2 linked regions of the Callithrix jacchus genome follow. The protein of the gene in region 1 purifies or fractionates together with the protein of each later gene. This does not show direct contact. Links are inferred from orthologs where the notes say so. Each region holds a gene or a part of one and is shown in the gene's direction. Other genes may lie near its edges.

Evidence for each region. The genes of interacting proteins can lie anywhere in the genome.
Region 2: the proteins of RAP1GDS1 (region 1) and RHOC purify together in Homo sapiens (co-immunoprecipitation; 3 studies listed by BioGRID and IntAct, counting the BioPlex papers as one, with this or other methods). This does not show direct contact. The link is inferred for Callithrix jacchus from reciprocal best matches to the Homo sapiens genes RAP1GDS1 and RHOC.

What each region holds. Positions count from the first base shown.
Region 1 is NC_133504.1:99,079,655-99,083,299, reverse strand, and holds part of RAP1GDS1 (rap1 GTPase-GDP dissociation stimulator 1), read left to right. Parts: intron 1-2,250; coding exon 2,251-2,377; intron 2,378-3,645. UniProt on the Homo sapiens protein: Acts as a GEF (guanine nucleotide exchange factor) for the Rho family of small GTP-binding proteins (G proteins) that stimulates the dissociation of GDP to enable subsequent binding of GTP.
Region 2 is NC_133508.1:150,668,808-150,672,552, reverse strand, and holds the start of RHOC (rho-related GTP-binding protein RhoC), read left to right. Parts: upstream 1-1,145; 5' UTR 1,146-3,136; intron 3,137-3,745. UniProt on the Homo sapiens protein: Regulates a signal transduction pathway linking plasma membrane receptors to the assembly of focal adhesions and actin stress fibers.

The sequences.
Region 1 (3,645 bases):
TGTATATATAACTATAAAATAAAACATTGTTTCAAACTTTATAAAGCATCTCCAGAGTTTTTAAGAACAAAGACCCAGTTATCAGCCAAACTGCCTGGGTTTGAGCCATGGCTTTACCACTTACTGATTATCTGAACTTGGGCAACTTTAATGACTTAATCTGAGCTTCAGTTCCTTCATCTGTATGACCTGGAGATAATATCTAGCTAATAGGATTTTCTGCAGGATAAAAATTTGCTAATATCTATAAGCTACTCAGTACAATGTCCAGCATATAGTTATTGCTCCATAAAGGGTTGCCGTCAATATTATTCGGTCACATGTGACAAATACAGTGTTTTATCTATTTTTTATCCCATATTCTATAAGGCAAAGTGATTCCATAGAATAGCTATTCAATAAACATTTGCTGAATTAGTTGGCGAGAGGGCAGGAATTTTAAAAAGGAAATACTCAGGTGAATGTTCTGGAAAAGTAAGATGAAAAGAAGCTATGCCTGGGCCAAAGAGAGGGCACTATTCATTTCTGATGTACACATTTCCTTAGTTCATTCCCTACTCTTCCTTCTGCTTCACTTATCTTTTAAGGGTGATTGGAAACAGAGGACAAAATGATAGTTTAAGGTTCTTCCTTAAATGATTGCATATGTATCTGTTCATGTCTTGTGGTCTTCTTTACTCAAGCTCTTTTGTGATTTTTATGCAATTTTTTTTACTAAGAATTCTATATCAATTTCAAGTAAACTTTTGCTGAGTAAACAGTAAATTAGGGAGATTAGAAAAACCTTTCTAAAACAGATTGATAGGAAAAGATGTATTAGATGCCAGAACACAGTTACCATAAAAACTTAGTTCTTGGACTCTATTGATTTAGCATGTTTGATCACTAAACAAGTTTGGGCTCGAAGCAAAGATACTGTGGAAAAATAGTTTCCTCAAATAATGGTTATGAAATGGAAGCATAAAGGAAACCCTAATATTTTTAACTACAACATATATCATTGAAGCTGACTCAGAGGCTGTTTTTTAAAATATCCAGACCTTAATTCAAATTATTAAAAATAGTGAAAGTAGCAGAGAAAATTACTTTTAAAATATTCTATAATTGAGATCTCCCACTAAATCAGATTTAGTGCAAGAGTTCTAAGACAACAGAACCCTCAGTGGAATGAGGACCAAAATAAGTACTAGAAATAAAGGTGAACATTGTTTTTTTTTTCATCTTACTATTGCAAGATAGTATGGTTTTTTGTGTAATAACTGTAATTATTACAAAAAACTATGAGATATATACTTACATCATTTCAATGACATTGATGATATTACTGAGATAAGAGAGCAAATTATTATTTGCTCAGTCAGTAGGATTTATTGAAGCCAGAGCTTGCTGCCTCCTCTGCCATGGAGAGAAGACAGAGCTCTAAGCACCATGAGAAATGAAGGCAGGTGGAGAATTTTAAGTTCTGCTCAGTCTTTTTGCAAGTAATTCAGTTTTTAAATTTATAAGATCAAATCAAGGGGTAAGAAGTACTTAATAATTTTTTTATATAAAAGCTTTACCTGGAACATCTCCAGAACAACTACCTGGTCCTATCGTGAAACTTTAAAAATAACTTTTTTTTTAACAGGCAGGGTCTCACTCTGTTGTTGCCCAGGCTGGAGTGCAGCCTGGTGTGATTATAGCTCACTGCAGGCTTGAGCTCCCTGGCTCAAACAGTCTTCCACCTCAGCACCCTGAGTAGCTGGGACTGTAGATGTGTGCCACCATGCTTGGCTAATTTTTTTAATTTTGGTAGAGGTGGGGTCTTGCTATGTTGCCAGGCTGGTCTCAAGCGATCCTCCTTTAACCTTCCAAAGCACTGGGAGTAAGTCCTGAGTCATCATGCCCAGCTGAGAACTTTTTAAAATTCTAAGTTGTATTTTTGTTTGTCAGTCCTAAGGTAGGTCAACATTTGAGGTAATGGTACTTTTACTTATTTGGCTTTGGTAGCTTCTAAACCTCCTGTTTTCTAATATGAACTACAGTGGTCTTTTCTACTTAGGCAATTTAAGTTGTCATCTTTTGATAAATTTATTTAAAGCTAAAAGCTTTTTCCTTTCCTTCTGTGGTGAAAAAAAAACTGCGATTAAATAAAATGATTCATACAGGACACTGTCGCAAAACCACTCAACAATGAGTTGACTGATTTTAATGCATGTTCTTTATGTTTAAAATTAAAGTTTATAATTCTGTGATATTTATTTATTGTAGGATGTAATTAAAACCATTGTGCAGAGTGGTGGCATCAAGCATCTAGTTACCATGGCAACTAGTGAACATGTAATAATGCAGAATGAAGCCCTTGTTGCTTTGGCATTAATAGCAGCTTTAGAATTGGGTAAGTACTCCAGTGACAAACTTATTTTCTTCTATTTTTATCTTGGATGAAAGGAAGCATAGAAATGGAGTTGAAGTCAAACATAACTTGACTGAAAGCATTTTGCTAGTGTGTCTGTACCATTCTCTGAATCTATGGAAAACCATTCTATCTAGGTTGTTACAGCTGTCCCCTTTGGTTGTGTTTTTGGTAACGTTTTTAGGGCAATGCATTAAGGTAAGTTTAACTTTTAAATAGTGCCTTAAGTTACAGCCACTTAGAGAATAGAGAAAACATTTTCAGCCGGCTTCACAGAGAAACCAAACAATATTTAGAATTCGACAGCACATGAGAAGTCTGCTACTCTCCCAGAGACCCAGATTTTCTCTTCCATCTCTGCTGGTTCTACTGCTAATTCTTGCTGTTCTCCTTCTGCATCTCGATCACTGTGATTTCTGTGGCTTGGTAGCATTGCCTTACTCCTGCATGTTTTACATTCAGAACTCCCCCAAAGCAGAGGCTAAATAATTCAATTAGTTTCGATCTAACATAGCATTTCTTTCTTCGTTTTTTCTGAGAAGGAGTCTTGCTCTGTTGCCCAGGCTGGAGTGCAATGGCGCAATCTCAGCTCACTGCATCCTCTGCCACCGGGGTTCAAGCAATTCTTGTGCCTCAGCCTCCTGAGCAGCTGGGATTACAGGCACGCACCACCACACCTGGCTAATTTTTATATTTTTTGGTGGAGACAGGGTTTCACCATGTTGTCCAGGCTGATCTTGAACTCCTGACCTCAAGTGATCCATCCAAATTTCTGGGATTACAGATGTGATCCACCATGCCCAACCCTAACATAGCATTTCTAATGAGCAGAATTCTTCATGAGAAGCTAATTCATAGGCATCTAGTTTATGAATAGCATAAACTAGATGGCTTAGGAGCTAACCCAAGACAGTCAGGGATCGTGTAACAGAGTCACATGTCCTGTTGTTAAGGCCTAAGGCTGCTTTACACAAAGGACTTTACACTTAGTAGGGATGTCCTATCCAATTCAAAGCCATTTGGGTAAACACTGTTAACTGATAGCCTCTTAATTCCCACTGATGACTTATATCCATAATTCTCACACTGGGACAAATAGATCCTCCAACTTGATTCCAGAAAGAGGAAACACTAATGCGAGTATTTTTTTATGTGCATAGAGTGTGTAATGATCAAGTCAAGGTGTAGAGGATATCTGTCTCCTTGAATAGTCTATTGTTGACTGGAAGCCTTACTGATAATAATCAGTG
Region 2 (3,745 bases), on another chromosome or scaffold:
ATGTCTGGATTGTACTTCAGATATTTAAAGTCTGTATGACTCCTAACATTCATTCATTCATCAAATATTTGTTGAGAACCTATTATGTGCCACTCACTATGCTAGACAACCGGGAAAGGGACAGGTTGGAGGAGCCTGGGAAGTAGCAGAGCTAGGCCACCAATTTGGAGCCAGACAGGCTCGGCTGTATGAATTCTTGCTGTCACAAGTCAAAAACATTTGTGTAAGCCGCTTGATTTCTCTGAGCCTCAACTTCCCTACAGGCAAAAGGGGATGGGTATACTTACCCCAAAGATCTGTGATGGATATTGAAAGGGCTGAGCCGTGTAGTGTCCCAAGCACAAGCCAATAAAATGTTGGTGGACGTGCTCATTCTATTCCCACCTCCTCAGCTCCCTTACAGGAAAAGGAGGTGCGCGTGTAGGTAAATATCCTATGCGCCAAGTCAGATCTAGGCGTGCGAACAGAATTCCCACCTGGGATCCAGAAGCATTTCTAGGAGCGCCCTTTGAGAAGTAGGTAGTTATTCGACTCCTGGAAATTCCAGGCCCGGGGAAGAAAGGGAATTGTGAGGAGGAACGGTGGTCTGGGTCTGAACGGCTCTGAAAGGTCTTCAAGTCTGGGGATGACGTTGAGCTGTACTTACTCTGCAACGATTCTGGGAGCAAGAGGGTGGACATCCCCCCCGCCAACCCCCACAACCGCGCGGGCCCCTGGGGCGTCCCGGGCTGCCCTTTCCCAGCCCCGCCTCCCGCGAGGTCCCAGGTGCGGGAAGGACGGGTAGCCGCTTGGCCACAGGGGGGCAGCAGCGGCCCTTCCTGACCCCACCCCGAGCACCTCTCAACTTTCCCGACGCCGGTCCTCCCCTAGGGGCTGGAGGCTGGGCAGGGGCTGAGTCCACCCGGGTCCTGCTCGCCCCGCTCGCCCGGCTCCTCCGCAGGCCGGGAACCTCCCCGTGGCGCTCCCCGACCGGCAGGGTAGACGCCCCCGGCCCCTGGCCCCGGCCCGCGAAGGGGACGAGCCCCAGCGGCTCTGCGCGGGGCCGGGGCGGGCCGAGCCAAGGGCCGTCCCCGGCCGACCCTCCCCCTGCCGGAACCGCCCTCCCCGCCGCGGCGCTGGAGGAGGGCGGGGCGGGACCCGGGGTCAGTCCGAGCCTCCGGCACCGGCCGCGCAGCTGAAGGCGGCGCAGCGGAAGGTACCCTGGGCCAGGGCTGCGGGCGGCGGGGCGCCCCGGGAACTCGTCCCCGAGAGAGCACTTTCCCTTTCTCGCTCACCCGGAGATCGGGGCGCGGGCGGGGAGGGGGCTTCGGCCCGGGCGTGGACCCCGTTCCCTCCGCGCGGAGTCGGCGTCCGGGTCGGGCGGGGGTCGGGCCGCGTCGGCCCCTCCCCGGGCTGCAGTGGGGGCCGCGGACTTGCCCGCAGGGGCTCTGGCCTCCGGAGGTCCGAGTCGGAGTCCCTTCCCCTCTCCTCCCGGCTTCCCGGAACCTGCCCCGCCGGGCGCAGGGCGAGGGAGCCTCGGCTCAGACGCTGCAGCCCCCGGGGCGGGCGGCCGCAGGGGACCTGGGGTGGGATGGGGTGGGAGTTCCTCCAGGCCGGGAGGGAGTCTTGGCAGGAATAGGAGCGGGATGTGACCTGCCACCGTTCGGCCGGGGCTGGACGCCGCCCTAGACGGTTCCTGGAGCCCGCGTGTGTTGAGGATAAGGGAGATGGGAAGGATCCAACTCGTGTGTGTGTGTGTGTGTGTGTGTGTGTGAGAGAGAGAGAGAGAGAGAGAGAAAGAGAGAGAGAATGAGAGAGAGAGAGAGAATGAGAATCTTCCTCCTCCTTCATACTCGAACCAAGAAACTGTATCCTGGGGTTTGGGGCTGGGGTCCCGAGGCCGAGTTCGCCCTCACTCTGTTTTTGAAGTTGAGAATGCGGTATATCCAGAACGATTCCTTCCCTAGGTTTGGGGTGGGTCGGCAAAGGCAACCGGATCCTCTGGGAATTCAAGAGAGTGATTGGAGAGAGGTCTGGTGTCTCCACACTGTCTTGTTTTGGGGAAGGCCCCAGAAGTTCCAGGCGCCATTCCAGGCCCTGTGTGGGATTCGGTTGCCCCTCTTAAGGGGTCAGTGGGACAGTCCCTCTGGGGCTGCGTCTCATAGGGAGTTGTCCGTGCCATCTTGGCCTTGGGCCTCGTGTACTGGCCTGGCCTGGGCCGCTTGCACTTCTAGCCCAGCCATAGCCTGGAGGGAAAGCGTTCTAGTTGAGCTGGAGGCTCAGGGCCCTTCACCAGCTTTCTGTCCTGTGCCTCCTGCCAGTCTGGTGCTATCTGAATTACCCTGTTGGTGGGACAGCAGTGGCATACTCATACCTGTGACTGACTTTCACCCCAGTAGTGATGGCCTGCCATCAGCACTGCACACCCCAGGTTGGGGCTACCCCAGCGCATCCTTACATAACAGGGCACGGTGAACTAATGGGAGTGGGTGGAGGAGTTGGAAGAAATCTTAGCGTCAGTCATCTGGGTAGAATTCCCAAGGAACCCTCATTTTGGAGGATGGTTTCCATTTCTGGAGGCGATCGGCTGAAATGCCTTCTTGCCTGTCTTTTGGGGAATCCGGGAGAGAGAGCATGAGAATGAGAATCTCATTGTGGCGGAAAGAGTGCAGCTGTGTCCTTTGAACTCCTACAAATTCTCTGCTTTATGTCTGCTGACCAACATCCCAGTTTTGTGAATGTGTGTGGAGGCAAGGGAAGGGCCACCCAGGATCTACTGTTGAAGGAACAGGCCTGGGGCTGGAGTATTCTCTTCCTGAAGGGTAGTGTGAGGTGGTGGTGGGGTATCGGCCACAGAGGAGCTCAGCCCAGTTTGACAGGATGTGGGACTGAGAGAAAAAGCTAGGTTTGGGGCAGAGATCAGGTTACCGGCGCTTTCTCAACTGCTCCCTGCCTGGTTGGTGCTGGGGCTGGCCCTCATTTGTCTCTTCTTTTGGGGCTCCTCCCAGCCCAGACTCTGGCCCCTTCCCCCTTCCCAACAGCCTTGACTTCATCTCAGCTCCAGAGCCCGCCCTCTCTTCCTGCAGCCTGGGAACTTCAGCCGGCTGCAGGTCAGCTCTCCTCCCCAGGGAAGGAGGAAGTGAGGGAAGCTTCAAAGGTGTGATGAACTGTGCAGATGCTCGTCCTTCACCAGCTAGGGGTGGGGGACACATGGAAGCTCGGGGAGCTGACTCCTTGCCCTGAGTCACAGGGAGGGGTGGGCAGGGCCCACGGATGAGCTGGACTGAGGGAGGAAGGGGCTGTTCCAGAGTGGGTGGAGGTGATTCCCTGGTGGATGCTTCTCAGTCGCTGTGCTGTGGTGGATGCGTGGCTCCCTACAGTGTGGTCATTGTCCCCTGCCGGGGGCTGAGTGACCCAGCGTTGCTGGCAGGCCCAGGGGGAAGGGGGAGGAAGGCAGGCTGCCCAAACTCGAGCTGTGGGCACTGCTGGGACTGAGCCTCCTTTGTATGACTTGGGGCTCTGGGGACCGGGCGGGGTGGGCCAGGGAAGCCGGCTGGCTGTCCTCTGTCTGGGTTTCCCTGCTTCTGCTCTCCTTCTCACCACTGAGGTGACATTTTGAAGAGGCACGGTTTTGAGTCACACCGTCCTGCTTTGAGTCACACAGTCCTGCTCTGGGTACTATCCCTGCCGCTTATAAGCCACGGCTCTGAATCTGTGTCTTAACCTCACTGAGCCTTAGTTTCCTAGTTTGTCAAAATGGAAAGTG